4 linked regions of the Xenopus tropicalis genome follow. The protein of the gene in region 4 purifies or fractionates together with the protein of the main gene of each other region. This does not show direct contact. Links are inferred from orthologs where the notes say so. Each region holds a gene or a part of one and is shown on either strand. Other genes may lie near its edges.

Evidence for each region.
Region 1: the proteins of kif23 (region 4) and shcbp1 purify together in Homo sapiens (affinity purification with western blotting; 9 studies listed by BioGRID and IntAct, with this or other methods). This does not show direct contact. The link is inferred for Xenopus tropicalis from reciprocal best matches to the Homo sapiens genes KIF23 and SHCBP1.
Region 2: the proteins of kif23 (region 4) and ect2 purify together in Homo sapiens (co-immunoprecipitation; 3 studies listed by BioGRID and IntAct, with this or other methods). This does not show direct contact. The link is inferred for Xenopus tropicalis from reciprocal best matches to the Homo sapiens genes KIF23 and ECT2.
Region 3: the proteins of kif23 (region 4) and racgap1 purify together in Homo sapiens (co-immunoprecipitation; 10 studies listed by BioGRID and IntAct, counting the BioPlex papers as one, with this or other methods). This does not show direct contact. The link is inferred for Xenopus tropicalis from reciprocal best matches to the Homo sapiens genes KIF23 and RACGAP1.

Annotation. Positions count from the first base shown.
Region 1 is NC_030680.2:72,872,949-72,876,102, forward strand, and holds part of shcbp1 (SHC SH2 domain-binding protein 1), read right to left. Parts: intron 603-3,154; coding exon 484-602; intron 32-483; coding exon 1-31. UniProt on the Homo sapiens protein: May play a role in signaling pathways governing cellular proliferation, cell growth and differentiation. May be a component of a novel signaling pathway downstream of Shc. Acts as a positive regulator of FGF signaling in neural progenitor cells.
Region 2 is NC_030681.2:110,939,568-110,944,066, forward strand, and holds part of ect2 (protein ECT2), read right to left. Parts: coding exon 4,476-4,499; intron 3,958-4,475; coding exon 3,889-3,957; intron 3,618-3,888; coding exon 3,507-3,617; intron 2,620-3,506; coding exon 2,523-2,619; intron 1,882-2,522; coding exon 1,800-1,881; intron 1,511-1,799; coding exon 1,432-1,510; intron 1,160-1,431; coding exon 1,040-1,159; intron 1-1,039. UniProt on the Homo sapiens protein: Guanine nucleotide exchange factor (GEF) that catalyzes the exchange of GDP for GTP. Promotes guanine nucleotide exchange on the Rho family members of small GTPases, like RHOA, RHOC, RAC1 and CDC42.
Region 3 is NC_030678.2:148,520,652-148,525,150, forward strand, and holds part of racgap1 (rac GTPase-activating protein 1), read right to left. Parts: intron 3,257-4,499; 5' UTR 3,253-3,256; coding exon 3,168-3,252; intron 2,234-3,167; coding exon 2,031-2,233; intron 1,942-2,030; coding exon 1,802-1,941; intron 1,360-1,801; coding exon 1,290-1,359; intron 337-1,289; coding exon 283-336; intron 11-282; coding exon 1-10.
Region 4 is NC_030679.2:118,016,558-118,021,056, reverse strand, and holds part of kif23 (kinesin-like protein KIF23), read right to left. Parts: coding exon 4,362-4,499; intron 1,745-4,361; coding exon 1,481-1,744; intron 1-1,480.

The sequences.
Region 1 (3,154 bases), on a different chromosome or scaffold from region 4:
TACTGCCAGGGTAGATTTCCATTCCAGCACCCTGCAATATGATGATAAAAGGTATGTAAGTATATAAGTAAGCGAATAGATTGTAATAGTCTAAAAGCCATTTTATGGGATATCGACAGTAAGTGTCGTTGTCTTAGATCTAACATTACCACATTGGTCATACGTAACTATGTACTAAAAAAAAAAATTCTGCACTAAAATGGCACTGACTGTCATTGCTTTTTTGTGATAGAAAATAAAGGTGTTATGAATAAACTTTTCAGTATGCTTCATGCATTGCCTCCTCTTAACTGTCACCCTGCTTTGCAGTCATGTGTGGTTTCATTCCCACATAAAGCAGTTTACCCAGACACTGAAAAGCCACAGAATAAGTAGTAGAATGAACTTGACAGGTATATAATATGAAGAAATAAGAGTACCCCTTGCTTAGCAATGTAACAGACTAGGATTACACATGAGTGCATGTATATGAATGGTCAATACCTTCGCTCCATATAAATCACTGTACTTCATCAATAACTCTGCAGACTTCTTCACAGTGATTCCAGTAGTTTCACACTGCAACACGCAGTTGTCCAGCTCTGTCTTTCCACTATGGATAGCTTTGAGGGTAAAAGGTTTAAAAAAAAAAAAAAAAAAAAAAGACAATTTGTTAGACATCTATGAACTACTGGATTAAAAAACCAAAGCCACTAATCATTTAAAAATGATTATTATTAAAACATTAAAATCCTTGCCATTTAAGGTCCTTTGTATCAATGTAAAAAACTTGAGATGTATATGTGTAAAATCCAAAGTTCTTTGCATGCTGTTTATAATTTTGCCGTAGAAGTATTTGCCCAATGCGTTTACATTACGTATCGGATCCCCAATGTTCCTCTATGAGGGGGCTGCCATATTTGTGCAGCAGGAGTCCATTATCATTAGAAGCTATAACTGACAGGCTGAGAAGGGACAGTCAGGTTGGCAAAACAATCAGGTGTAGGAACTTCAAGTAACAGTTACTTAAAAAAAACAGCCCTATCAGTACATTCATATTTTGAAGAGTAGTTTTTTTAGTGTCAGTATCACTTTAAAAGGGATACTGCAATGATTTTTATGGCAACAAATTTATTTTTTTAGCTGTAATATTTGTGTGTAGGCAGTCACCTCAGTGCATTGTACCTGAGTCTGAGCTTTTAGAAAGAGCCAGCGCTACACATTAGAACTGCTTTCAGGTAACCTATTATTTCTCCTACTCCCATGTAACTGGAAGAGTCCCAAGCCAGACTTGGATTTCTTACTATTGAGTGCTATTCTGATATCTACTGGGAGCTGCTATCTTGCTACCTTTCCAATGTTCTGCTGATCGGCTGCTGGGGGGAAAGGGAGGAGAGGGGATATTACTCCAACTTGCAGAAGGATCCTGCCGGCGAAGCTCTATTAACTAACTGATGAGTTTTTAAAAAACATGTTTGCCCATGACATTACTCCTTTAACATATGTCCACCAGAGAAAGTCATCGTTTTAGTGATGGTTTCACCACCATCACCAGGAAAACAACTAAATAATACTAGTATCAATTTCAGTGGCAATAATAAGAAAACATTACTTAAATGAGAACTAAACCTTAAAATAGCTATAAATGTTTTGAGATAAATATTTTATATACTGAAATTGCTGCACCAGCCTTATGCTTGAGCATCTCTAAAGGAATGAAATCAACAGTAATGATCCAGGCCTTTAAGTTGTCACAGGAGCTCCCCATCTTGGATTTTGTTATAAGTGTCAGTGACACTGCGCGTGCTCTGTGGACTCTGGGCAGCTGTTGAGAAGTTAAGCTTAGGGGTTGGCTAAATACACTAGTTTCAGACCTGATTTAATAACTAATCAGCCTTGTATGTTGACTTTTACATTCTATCATTTGTGTCCACAAATAGGGGCAAGGGGAGGCAAGTCCCCCTGGAATTTTGCAAATCTCAAAGAATAGTGTAGGCAGGGCAAAGCTGCATATTAACCCATGCATTCTATATATACAGTATATTGTGAGTCGGTCCCTAAGCTCAGTAGCACAGAGAATGTGTAGTGAATCAGCAGAAAAGTAGATGGGGAGCTACTGGGGGCATATTTGGGGGCACAGATCTTCATTACTAAAGGGCTGTGGGTTGCCTTGGGCTGGAACAGAAGCCAACAACATAATATGCAACATTTCTACCCTACATCTTTGCTAAGCTTTAGATCTTTAAAATTATTATAGGGCTCCAGAGAAATCCTATAATAGCAGCGATACTGGCAACTTACTGACGTCCCTCTTTTAATCAAAGAGCAACATAACCACACAGGTTAGTTTCCCAGTATAAAAATATGAAATTTAATTTCAATCTATAAGTTAAATGGTACTGGCATCTCCCAGTGTAAAAAGAAAAAAAAAAAAGTCATTCACAGAATGTGCTTAAATACAACAATAAAATGGTGTGCAGGTTTTTTTTTTCTTTTTATTTTAATGGCTGCTACTGTGACCTGGTCTGTTGCTCTGTTTTGTGGTTCTCTGGATGCAGTACACACTGATGGCTTCATGCCTGGCACACTTTGCTTTATAGCCTGCTCAGAGGCAGGGATGGAGAATAGCCCTAAAAATCAACCTCCCAAAACATTCAGAGATTGGTGACAAAAACCATAAATCCAATTAAAAGCATAAAAGCTTCCTTAAATAACATAGCAAAACTGCTACCAGAAAGTAAAATTAAGGCCTGTGGTGACACAGGGTGGATACATGACAGGACAAAATACTCTGCCAGTTGTTAGTTCTTTTTCCCATTTCCTTAATGAGTGCAAGCAATGCAATCCATTCTGCAAACGAAATATTCTTTTGTTTGCCCCTGCACAAGAGCGAGAGGTCCAAACAATTTCAGGACTTGATTCATCACCCCTGATAGGTACAAGGCATCTAATAGGCCCTCTAGGTAAACCCATTTCACAGACCCTGGAGAGGACCATACACCACTGCTAATAGACTGGCATCCATAGCCATGGCAAGGGGGAGAACACCTGCCCAAGGAATGAAGGAAAACTTGTGTCACTTAACCACAGAACAAAAGCAACATAAGGAATGAGCCATCGAGCCTTGATGAAAGCACTTGAAGCATGTTAATCCAGTGGATTCGGCTGTCTTTAA
Region 2 (4,499 bases), on a different chromosome or scaffold from region 4:
CACCTCTTCTCGTTGTGCAGCGTTTTCTGCCACACTTTTTCCTTCCCACAGACTTCCCACTGAGGTGCCTTGATACAGCACTCTGGGAACAGCCTATTTGTTCAGAAATTTCTTTTTGTGTCTTACCCTCTTGCTTGAGGGTGTCAATGATGGCCTTCTGGACAGCAGTCAGGTTGGCAGTCTTACCCATGATTGCGGTTTTGAGTAATGAACCAGGCTGGGAGTTTTTAAAAGCCTCAGGAATCTTTTGCAGGTTTTTAGAGTTAATTTGTTGATTCAGATGATTAGGTTAATAGCTCGTTTAGAGAACCTTTTCATGATATGCTAATTTTTTGAGATAGGAATTTTGGGTTTTCATGAGCTGTATGCCACAATCATCAATATTAAAACAAGAAAAGGCTTGAACTACTTCAGTTGTGTGTAATGAATCTAAAATATATGAAAGTCTAATGTTTATCAGTACATTACAGAAAATAATGAACTTTATCACAATATGCTAATTTTTTGAAAAGGACCTGTAATTGAGAATTTACATTTGTAAGCGCTTAAACTTGAGTGAGAACAAGTGTTTGCATGGGCATGTGTTTGCTTAGCTATGAATGAGAGACTGTACATCTTCTAGTATGGTAATGGAAGTCAGAGTGTGATTTAAGTACGTTTGAATCGTTTTAGTGTAGAAAATTCTGGTTATATAAATGAAGTTAGGGAATACAAATATGTACAATGAATGAGCATTTTAGACAGGCACTTAATGCAAATGTTCCCCACTTTCCTAATATGAAAAAGTAATAAATCTTTACTATTTCCTGCAGGGAAAAAAATGCTTGTTGTGTCTCTTCTATTTACTATTACCGTCGTAAATTTTTACACACACAAAAAGGTATATATTTCTATAAAAGTGCACAAAACACTTATGGCATCAATTTAATTTAAAAACAAAACAAAAAAAACACATTGAAAATCAGCAGATAAAGTTCACAGCATGTTCCATTCCAACATGCCCTATAACACTCATTTTAAGATTTTTATTTTTTTTTACCTCAAGGCAATCATTAAACAGGAAAAGTGTAACTTGTTCTCCTCGATCACAAAGATCTTCACCAAGTGCAATTGTTTCTACACGCTGCACTAAAATTCGGTGGGAAGATAACAGATTTGCCTAGAACAAAAAAAAAAAAAAAAAAAACTTATAAAATATATGTACTGCGTCTATCCCTAAATGTATGGGCCAGGATACAATGCCACACAGATAAATGAACATACAGATAATATACAAGGATCCTATTTAATGGGTATAGCCTGATTTGCCCTGTACTAAGCACAATTTAGGAAGAGGTTTGGTACCACTAAAATACACATGGATTATAAAAAAACACTATGTTCTCCTGGAATCATGAGTTCTAACCCCTGCATGTAGACTTTGATACTTACAGGACATCCATCCACTTCATAGACGACATCAAAAATCTGCTTTTGCCCTTCAGTCTTCCTTTTATCTTCATTAATGTGCCTGGAGATAAGGGACAGTTAAATGAATTCAGTTACCATAGAATGCTGCCAAATGACATTCAGGCAGGTTTATGGAAGCCCAAGCATTAGACCACCGTGATCTCAGAGAACCATAGCAGTCGACATGTCCATTTACATCCATTTTAAATGAGCAGAAATGCAATGCCCATGATACTTCACAAGCACTTCTCAGGAAAGGGGAACTAAGCTTTTACAAACAATTCCTAGCTAAGAGCAGCAGCATCTGCAGGTCTGCCCCACAGAGCCCAACGCTTAAAGCTTTTACTTACATCATGACTTCTTTTAATGATTCAATTGCTTTTTCCAACATTACTTTGTCTGGGTTATCATCTGCTGTGTGCTTTTTGAGATCTACAAAAACAGAAAAGTTTCAAGTTACTTTCAAAGACTGAACAGAGCAAATCGCCAGCAATTCTATGCAAAACATTATCTTTTCAGAAAACTGGCCAAATAGTTTAGATGTAAACTTGTACTTAAAGGGGCAATATACTCTTTTGTTCAACATGAGTGCAATGAATAGGTTTTTAGCCTATTGTTTTAGTCACAAAAAATCTGTTTTTTGTTGTTCTTAAGCTGAAAAGGGACATTTAGGGTACTGGCACACTGGCAGCTTAGTCACCCCCAACAAATCTTTGCTACTGTGGGCAACTAATCTCCCTGAAATGCTTTCCATCCAGCAATAAATTGACTTGCCGGTGGGAAAACATACACAGCACTTTGTTTTTCTGAAGTAGCCTCTTGAGGAAACTTTGGTCGAAAATGAAGCATCACATGTGTTTTTCCCACTGGCGATTTACTTTATTGGTGGTTAAAAGGCATACGCAGAAAACCAGTTGCAGCTATAGCTGAGATTTAACATGGTTGACTAATCTCCTGGTGTGCCAGTACCATTAAGGTCCCCTGTGTTTGGTCCTTGCAAGGTGAATATTGGTAATCTAATTATGTACCTTTTTAGTAATAAAAATATAAGAACAGATGAATAATCAATTTACCATTCAGAAGAAGTGCAACACTTGGTAACCGTTGAACAGGTCTGATAAGGAGCTCGACTAAAGTTTGTCGTCCACATTCTGGCTTTGACTGGTTGATCTAGAAGCATAATACCAGTTATACTTATTATTATAGACTTAATACGAATAAAGTCACGTTATGGTGTTCTCAATTGTAAAAAAAACAAACAATGGGGTTATCAAACTTGCATTTCAGAAAACAAAACTTAGTACAAGTAGTGGGGCGAAAGAGGTGAGAACTTTTAAAAGAAGCGCTCTCAAGTTTATTGGGGGGTCCTTTGTAATGATCAAAAACTTCTTGTGCTAATCAAGGAAGGTTACAGAGCAAGGGATTTTGAGGCTCTTAAATACCTTCCCACCCATTCAGTCACTGACTCATGCTACTAATGAATAGTTCATGCGATTACCTGACACTTTTGGCCTACTCTTAGGAGATCTCCATTCACCCAGCCTTGTCCCATCTGTTTACTTACATCTCTTTATTATGATTTTGTAGGGTGCATATTGCAGAAGGTACACATTTTCCCCAAGCAACATATACTGCATTAATCTTTCTAATTATTATTTATCCATGATTTGGCTTGAATCACTGCAAAAGGATAAAGTAAAAATCCATGGATTGTTCTTCAATCAGACTATGCTTACCGTTCCCCAGGGGACAACATACATAAAAATTCCTTTTAGCCCCAAGAAATTCTGAACTGACTTTCATTGCTAATGCACTTAGATAACCATCACACTAAAAACACATTTCGATCCACCAGGGACAACGACCATCCTGACGAAGGTCCCTGGTGGATGGAAACGCGCACATACGAGCATGGAATAATACATTTTTGACTTTTTTTGATTTGCCATCTTGCTGTGAGGGCTTTCAACTTTGTGGAGACATTTGTGTTAGACATTTTTTAAAAGCATCACAAGAATTTAAGATTTAGAAAACATTTGCATAAAATGCACACATACCTTTAAAAAAGCGTGAAATCTCGGTTTCTGCTTTTCACATTTTATAATCATTTCCTTGCTCATTTCAAAGAAGTTGACAAAAGGTGGATATATTTTCACCAGATCTTTAGACTAAAGACACAAAAGGTATTTCTTTAACACATTAAGCAAAACAACTGTGTAAGATGCAAGATGCCTATTCTAGCTTACTACTTACTTAAATGCAGCATACACCTATAGTGTAACTCTGATATGGGGATCTGACAAAATATTTGACAAACTAAGTATTCAGATATATATATTTTTTTTTTTTTAAGACAAAAACCTATAAACACTGAGCATAGTGTAAAAAGGTCAGTAAGCAAAAACATTGTAAAAAGAATTAATTTTCAAATAAACTTACATAGGTGAGGATAATATCCCCAATACTTTTACTTTCGGCCCAGTCAATCATAAGTTTTTCCAGGTCTCCCTAGAAAAAATAAATAAATAAATAAATAATGGTTAAAGATCATGAGAATGTCAAGTATTAAATTTTAGAAAAGAGGCTTTGAGGAGTTTATGTTGATCTTTTCACATATTTAATATCCTAAAGCACTATAATATAGCACTCTATAGACCATGATATTATGAATGGCCGCTGAGTCAGTTATTAACTGAGCAATGATTTCCCCCGATTCATCTACAAAAATTATTTTGGCTAAAATTGTATGCGGTTTTATGGCATCATCTAATTGAGTATTCTGCTGCAGTCACTAATTATCTGGCTGAAACTATGGTAGCAAATATGACTGTGGGATACTGCCTCTGAAGTCTCCTGCAGGACTTCTAGAGAAGAGAACCAGAGTGGTTCAGTAGCCAGAATGATATATACCGTGTACTTATCTGACATTGATCATGAATGTGTTGGTTTAAAACCAAGTCTAGTTTGGCTTAAGCTCAGCTGTTGACAGTCTGTTGAAAATGCATATATTTTATTTAAAGTATAACCTTTATATTAGTGTGGACATCAAG
Region 3 (4,499 bases), on a different chromosome or scaffold from region 4:
TGGAGGAACGCTAGAAAAAGTACAAAAGGTAAATGTAATACTGCTGGTGTCGGAACATAAATTGGCACTTTAATATTGAATTACTGTTTTGTGTATGTAAAAGTTTTAATGAACACATTTTACACATGTTTACATGTTCAAACTAAGTTACCGTTGCAGAATTGACTCTGTGGAACATTTAGTGCTTAAAATACACTATATATTGTTTCTACCTTCCCTTTCTTGCCCTTTGAGTGCCGTTTTTTTTGTGGGTAAACACAAGAAAGTTAAAAAGGAACTTACCCGTTTCTCTCGTTTCTTAAGCCGCACATTTCGTACAAGAGAAGAATCCCAGTCCTGTTGATATTATGTAGAGTTAGGTTAATTTCCCTTTAATATACTTCTAAACCAGAAAGATCAAAAGGTAACTGCATCTTGCAGCAATGTAAAAATGTATTGATAACTTTACACACAAATGTCAACCTCAGATCATCATATCACCATTACCAGACCACATCTCCACCATCATCTTTTATCCTCTAGAAACCAATTTCCTGGCAAATGGCCAGAGTAGGAACACAAACTAGTGTGAATACCGCAGCCTGCCACTAAACAGCATTCTACACTGTAGCCTGTATAAACAAAAATGATCTCAGGACCTGCCATCAGGCATAATAATCCAGGTGGTCATCTAAACATGGAATCCGCATGATTAGCCTACAGCTACAAATGACTAACATTGACACTCAAATAGGATATATGGAAAAGATGGAAAGAGTAGCAAACATACACGCAAACGCATCTTGAATATCTAAGAGACAGTTTCCTGGCTCAATGGCTAAAGAACCTAACAACGCCTTTCAGACTTGGCTTATTTAAATCTAAGGGCAAGGACAAGTTGGGAGATTGAGCCAGCATTCAAATTAAAAAATAAATAAATAAAATACCGCTAACTACAAATCTCTGTGCGTCACTGCCCTAAGGACTTGCTGGGGCAGATCTTTGCCATTCAGGGATAATGAACAGCTTTGGAAGAAACTTCAGTTCCTATGATGGCACCACATAAGAGTCCAGAAAAAAACAACCACCATGTTTGACATAAGCAAATGATAGTGTGTATCCCTCTGATTACATCTAAAAGCATCACAGTAAAAAAATTTGCCCAACACTATTAACGTACATCACCCCGTATAGTGGAGTTAGATCAAGACAATTTTTTAAAATAAAAACCAAGGCAGCTTTGACATAATCCCTATCTACCAAAACAAAATGGCCTTAAACAATGCCTTAAAAAATATATGGCTTATTACCAATGAGTCTTCAGTCTTGTCAAAGCTGATGTCTGAGAGAATGGAAGCAGATTCATCTATTGTTGAGAGCCTAAACAAATGTGAGGAATCAGGGAAAATTAGCTAACGCATTGCAATGTAGAATTAAACTTGAATTTTTGCACAGCTATAAGCTAGTTCTTGCTACAGCTCAGTAGCAACAATTCTGTATTTAATAGCAGATTTTACATATACATGCACTGTGTATAGTAATAATGTTCAAGTGTGCTTATTAATATGTGGATTTGCATATTTCAGTTATAAGAATGGACAGTGGCATGTAAATTGCCATGTGACGGGGGGGGGTCTTCCAAAACTGCCACATGCACCCAGATGGCGGGACAGATTGGTGAAAGCTGAAAACTGCCCTGGACGTGTACGGCTACCTCAACTGCCAACAAAATAGTTGTATGTTTTTGACAGCATTACTACTGCTGCTACAATACAGTTATGCATGCAATAGTCCAAGGCGCAGTTACTGGCTTCATATTTACCTCCTAGTGCCATTTCCATCAGCGGACATTTGAGTCCTGTTATTAAGAAAAGCTAAAGCACTTCTTTGCTGCTCACTGAGCTGAATGCTGCCAGATGGATCACACATTAGCAGTTCCCGTATCAGCTGTATTTGTCGTTCCTACCATAAGACAAAACAGGTGTTACTAACAGCACAGGTTGATGTCTTGTCTCCCCCAAAACTGTCGCACACAAATTCTCCAATCTCACCAGTTTTTCACATTCCACCTCTGCACGTTGTCTCCTCTTTATCTCCACATCCACCTGATTGCGTGCATGCTTTAGCTTAACTTCCAGCGCACTGCGCTCAGTTTCAGTCTTCATCAGCATTTCTTTATTTTTTATCAGTTCTTGCTCAGATTTTTGCCATTTTCTTCGAAAGTCTTCAAAATTCTTAGCCAGCTGAATAAACTCTAAGGAATAGGGAGAAAAGGCAATGATTGATCTCTACCATTCAGAAAGAGCATGACAATACCACTCACAAATAAAACCACACGTGAACTGTGCCTAGGGCTATACTGTCAAACTAGAACGCTTTTAAGTTCCAAACAATCAATTGCTCTCCAGGAAGAAAGGTTTGATTTTAGTGTGTTGGCATTTCCAATTATATTTACTCGCAATTTAGGATGTCTAGCTCATACAAGTTAGACAGAAACGCAATATAAATTTAGTTTAAAAGTGAAATATCAGTTTACAGTTATTTTTTGGAAAATTTCCTGTAAAGTTAATACTATGACAAAAATGTATGTTTTCAAAAAAGCTGATCGACATGAGCATGTTCTGTCATTTTTTTTGGGGGGGGGGGGGGGGGGGGAGATTTACAGAAGAATATGCAAAATCAGAGGGCTGGGAAGCCAGATACTCCCGGCTGGTGCTTCTGTTGGCAGAAAACTATACCAGCCTTCCGAGCGAGCAATGTGGAGCAATATTTTTACCTTCGCATTGGGTGCACATGTGCAGTAGAGTGAAAAGGCAAACTTTAAAAGGAGAAGGGCAGCTTTTTCACTATACTGCACGTGTCCTGGCCTGGGCCACTGAAGAATAAAGAAACAGAAGACAATGATTGTCCCATGGTGCTTGCTTTGGAGTACCCCAGACTGGCCCGGGGTATTAGGTGAGCGATTATAAGCACTAAGAGGTGCCTAACATTTGCAACATTTTGGTGCCCAGTTTTAAAATGAGGCAGTACTAATCAAATCAGTATGGGGGGGTCACACCACCACAAACAAAGAAATTCAGCTAACCGACTGTTATATTACCATGAAGATTGAATAACGTTACAGCCAACAAAGCCGAAGTTCTAATATGCAGAGACAGCAAAGCTTCCATCTTGGGATGCATACTTACGTGGCTCTATACCCTCATTCAGGCCATCTACTTGCCGCATTAATTGCTCAAAAAGATTGCGTAGGTTCATCAGGTTTGTCGCCATCTTCCTGCAAAGAATTGTCGATTAGTAGAAAATCACAACTTGGAGCATCAATAGGTGGAGCAGTGCTCGACTCGAAAGTTCTGGGAGCACATTTTGACCAAGGGAGATTTGCAGGGACTGTTTACATAAATACAGACATGTAAAAACCATATATACAAGTATGCTACTACACTTTAAGCCATTAAAACAGCAACTGAAAACTACTTTTTCACAACTCCAGCAAACCCATCATATACCTTGCTAATTGGCCAAAATTATCAAGAAAGCTCAACCATAAAGTTCTAAAAGGCTCATATCCAAGCAAAATGAAAGATAGGCAGACAGACGGTTATACACAAACTTCTACAATGTAAACTTGCATATAAACACCATACATCTTAAAAACTAGTACAAAACCAAGCAAAAATGCCTAAAAAAAATTATACGAAACAAAAATATTTACAGAAACAGCACAAAAACTTATGTGCCTACGACCATAACACACATAGCACATTTAACCTTATGGATATATAAAAAAAAAAAAAAACTACAGGTATACAGGCTCAAATTACAGAAGTCAGCCTCCTTATTTTAAGAAAATAAATCTTATTTTAAAAATGATTTTCTTTTTCCCTAATAAAACAGTACCTTATGCTTCCTTGATAGTAACCAAGCTGCATAAAAGAAGCTCTGAAAGCTTGTAGCCAGACTGGGCTTTTGTTAAAACAAAACCAAAGTCAAGCAAAAGGACCAGACCAACAGAGGGGTGGAACATAGAAGGCAAAGCAACATAGTCATCCCATATGTTGCTGGAACATAAGAAAAAAAATCAAATTTTTCAATCGCATTCCTGTGTTTTTCAAACCCAGCAACACTCAGACGGACCTGGCAGCGATACAGTTTTTAAGCACGGGCCCCTTTAAAGAGTTACAGGCCCTTGGCTCATTGGTGGTCAGCGGGTAATTTTATTGGTTGCGCCCTGTGCGTACGTGTCACGTCAGCACGCACGGGGCGCAACCTAATAAAAGATCTGCAGCTGCGGGACCTAAGAAGAGACAGCGGACGCAGAACGCTGGGGGATGTTGGGGAGAACGCTGGGGGGAGCTGGAGGATGTTGGGGAGGACACTGAGTGGGGGGAGCTGGAGGATGCAGAGGGGGGAGCTGGAGGATGTTGGGGAGGACGCTGAGGTGTGGGAGTTCATTTTCACTACATTCCACATTTATTAAAGCAACTGTTTTTATTCTTTAATTTGAAATTGATGCCTCA
Region 4 (4,499 bases):
TGACCCAAACCATCAATTTCTCGCCAATGACTGTAGCGCAGCTGAGCCCATAAATCATATAGTGACACAGTAAGCAACCCGCCCAACATGCAAAGGACAGCAAAGCATTGGTAAGGAAAGACACAAGGACGTTGTTCAGAGTGCAATGGATGTGGGAAACGGAGCATTAGTCACTGGGGTACAGTCTGATGGTCAGTTAGGGTGTGATTTTAAGTAGAATGACTATATGCACCCCCACATAGCTCTGGAAGGCAAAATGAAGGTGATTTAGGGTGAACATGTATATGATGGCCTAGATATTCTTCTACTTGGATGTCTCTTCTCATAGATCTGAAAACTTGTTATAAGCCAGAGGGGCAAAATGCCAGGCCTCAAAGTGGGGCTTTGAAATAAAAAGGAGTAAACCCTACAAATGAATAAGATTATTTTATATACTGAATTTACTGCACCAGCCTAAAGGTTCAGCATCGCTTTAGTAGTAATGATCCAGTTAAGAGTGTCAGTGACACTGCACATGTTCAATGTGCTCTGGGCAGCTAAGCAGAAAATGAGGTTGGCCTGTTATATAAGCGGATGCTACAGGGCTGATTATTCATTTCTGGTGGTAATTGCACTGGTTTCTGAGAATCTGAATTAGTAATCAGTCCTGCATTATGACTTTTATAATAGCTATACTTACATACATGTATACACAATACATTGTGTCTGCCCCTAAGCTCAGGTAAAGGACAGATTCACAGTGCATGTGTTAAGAATTTGCAGAAGAGATGAAGCGTGGCATCACTGCTAAAGGGCAGGGCTTGCCTTGGGCTGGTACTGAAACCCAAACATAACGTGCAGTATTTGTATCCTACATCTTTGTTGTAGCTCTTACAGAGAGGGAACAGTGTGTACGAATGTTTTAAGCTCCTTTTTCAAGATAAACTGATGCTATGTAAAGTATGTTTTACACAGTCAGAAGCAGTGTGCCAGCTTATACATAAAGGATAGAATATAAAGCAGTCCATAAAGCTTCCGAGCCAGCCAAAGGCCATAAAAATGTCTTTGTAGGGCCGGCCGGGCAGATGTAATAGGTCACTAGTATCTTGGCTAACATGGGACATAACTTTTACTAATTAGATGCTTTTGAGGAACAGATTATTTCTTAAAAGAACTGGAATATCATTTTCAATTTTTTTTCTCCAGAAAACTGATTTCAGCAAAGGACAAAGCAACAAGCTAGTAACTTCCCTCTAACTCTAGCAAGACATACTGCATTGCCTTGATCTTTCCTCAAGGAGGCAGAAATGCAACGGCTGAAATAAGCACAGCTGTATATTTACTAAGGACCTGCAGTTTAGTCAATTGAAAGCAGATGCTGTTGCATCAAGTTATGCCATGGCATATGGGGCAAGAGAGCAATAGAGCAGGCATAACTTGTCAGTGGCAATGCACTAGGCTACAGTAAGCAGCAGTAATCACTGACTAATTACTCACTGACCCTGAAACACTGATCCTCTTCTAGATCTGTTTGTAGACTGGCTGCATTAACTGCTGGCCTGCTCTGTGCTGAATTACTCTTTCTAGCTTCCTCTGGCTCCTTCCGCCTGCGGCTGGAGCACCCATTGCTCTGAGGGGTGTGCTGGGGTGTCCTCTGTTCCCACTGCGTGACACATGAGGCCACGGATAGGCTGCCGCAGGAATTTGAGCGCCTGTGCAGCTGCAACCGTGCAGGGGTGGGCTGGGGAACTGGGTCACCCAGGAGCTAAAGAGACCAGAGACAATTAGTCAACACAAAAAAGCAATATATGGGGCACCTGGAATGCACTAAGTTTTAAATTAAGTCCTGCTCATATACAATTAGTAGTATCATACGGTCAACAGCAAATATATCTTGAAACATATAATAGCTTATTACAGCAGGCAAAAAATACACTGAACACTATAGCCTGACTAGAATAAGCTAACAGTGTAAGGAACCCCTCCAGCCTTGTTCAGCAGATTCTCATAAAGAATTGTATGAAGTTTTATAGCGCAACTAATGCCCAAGAGAAGCTAAGGTTACAATAGCGCCTCCCAACTCCCACAGCCAGCATCCCTGTGCAATATTAAAGGACCAAAAAAAGTCCAATGTTTCGACCACATCTATGTGATCCTCCAGGAAGATATGTTCGTATGTATATACACACACACTATATGCCAATATGTATTGGTATTTAAAGCTTGTTCAAACTCTATTGTACACATTGGAGGGACTCCAAAAAGTGGGGGCAGCACATATGGCACTCTTATATGGAACAGTATCTCTAGCCATGGGAAGCCGCACAGCAGGCCTACGCCATAAGAGGACTTGACATAACCTTAGCATCTCTAGCCCCTTAATTGCCCTTTAAAGGAACAGTAACACCAAAAAATTAAAGTGTATAAAAGTAACTAAAATATAATGTGCTGCTGCCCTGCACTGGTAAAAGTTGTGTGTTTACTTCAGAAAGTCTACTATAATTTATATAAATAAGCTGCTATGTAACCATGGGGGCAGCCATTCAAAGGAGAAAAGGCACAGGCACATAGCAGATAACAGATAAAACACTATTGTATTCTACATAACTTATCTGTTATCTGCTATGTAACCTGTGCCTTTTCTCCTTTTTTCCAGCTTGAATGGCTGCCCCCGTGGCTACACAGCAGCTTATTATATAAATTATAGTAGTGTTACTGTAGCAAACACACCAGTTTTACCAGTGCAGGGCAACAGTGCATTCTATTTTTATTACTTTGGTGTTACTGTTCCTTTAAAGAGAACCTGACAGTTTTCAGTTAACAATAGGCATGTCTTTAGAATTTAAAAAAATAAATAAATAGAAGCAGTAGTTTTAAAACTGCACAAGCAAAGCCCCATGGGGGAAAAAAAATGGAAACTATTAGAGAAGGACTCCTGGTATACTGTGCAATCCCAGCATTCTCCTCTTTACAAACGGAGGAGTTTCAGTGAAACAGCATGAGGCCCTGTCTCCCCAGTGCCCCCTGGCACCCCCCTTCCCCCCCATGCCAAGACACAAGGTTACACAAGGTTACACAAGGGAAGGAACACAGCACTAGGCCAAGGGACCACAATAATATACATGGGTGTAAGTAGATGAGCTACAGAGACTGTACCTAGCATTAGGTTAGTGTCAGTAGGACAAATAGTCACACAGTGGGGCTTATTTACCAATACTGAACACATTTATCACAATGTAGTAACCCATAACAACTAGAGGTTTTCATTATTTCATTGTTGATAAAACTTAATTGTGAGTGCTCTAAAAGTTATTTGTTAAAGTTATTTTCCATCCTCTCCCTTCCCTCACCATGTACCACTGCCCTCTCTCCTTTTAGCTTCTGTGTTTCGTTCCCCAGACCAGTTTTCTCGCCTTCCAATTTTCTGTACCCATATTCTGATTTCTCCCCAAGGACCATTTTTTTTTCTGCTCTTCCCTTTCACCCGGTTCCTTTTACTTGTGACCCACAACTTTCCCTCCTTAGTCTCTAATATTCATTCTTATACACACTCCTTTTAACTGCTATCCACAATCCTTATTACATTGGCACTCCATTATTCACTTCTTTCCTGTTTTCTTTTAATGTTCCAGCCAAAATCATTTACTTTCCCTTTATTTAAATTATTATGCTTTGGTAAAATGAGAGCTTGCCTATCACAAACGAGAGAGCAGGGCAGAATGAGTGCTATCTTGCGGATTTAACAAATATGTAACAAATAAAAGGGAAGGGAAAAAATGGTGAAATGGGAGGAGAAAGCAGGTCACAGGGTAGCAGTCTATAAAAGGGCAAGCAGCAGGCCACCATTTGGCTGAGCAACACTTATGAAATGATGAAAATGATTGCTGATAAATCCAGGACTAGCAACACATCCAAAACAAAGAACCCAAGCTCAGAGCAAACTAAATTAGCATCTTGCAGCACAGATACAGTAAACCAGGCAGTGCTTTGTAACCAGCCATCAAGAGCTGCAACACTGTCTCTGGGATTTACTAGCGTTAAACAATACAAAGCACAATTTCATTAGCTGGAAAAAAACATGTTAAATAGACAAGTTCTAAAAAAAACTGAGCTCTAGGCATAGAAATGGTATAACTGGGGGAAAAGACAGTTTCTGCAAATGTACTTCCCCCTCGTGTGGGGAGTTACACCTATTTTTCCAACATTCCAATGCAGATGTTACATGATAAAATGCAAAGCTTTGAATATTTAACCATCAGAACATCCCCACTTAACCACCAGAGTGAAATATAAACCCACCACCTACAGACAGTGCGACTACTCAAACATGCAATTGCCTACCCTCTCATTAGTGAGTAAATATGTATCAATGTAATACATACAGGTGCAGGTGAAGGTGAAATGGATCTGACAGGTACCCTTGGCTCTCTGTCCTTCTCCCTGGGTGGCCGCTCTGGTTTATCTCCCTTTGTCTCTGTCACAATTGCTTTAAGTTGTTTGAGCTTCTCATCTTTTACCCA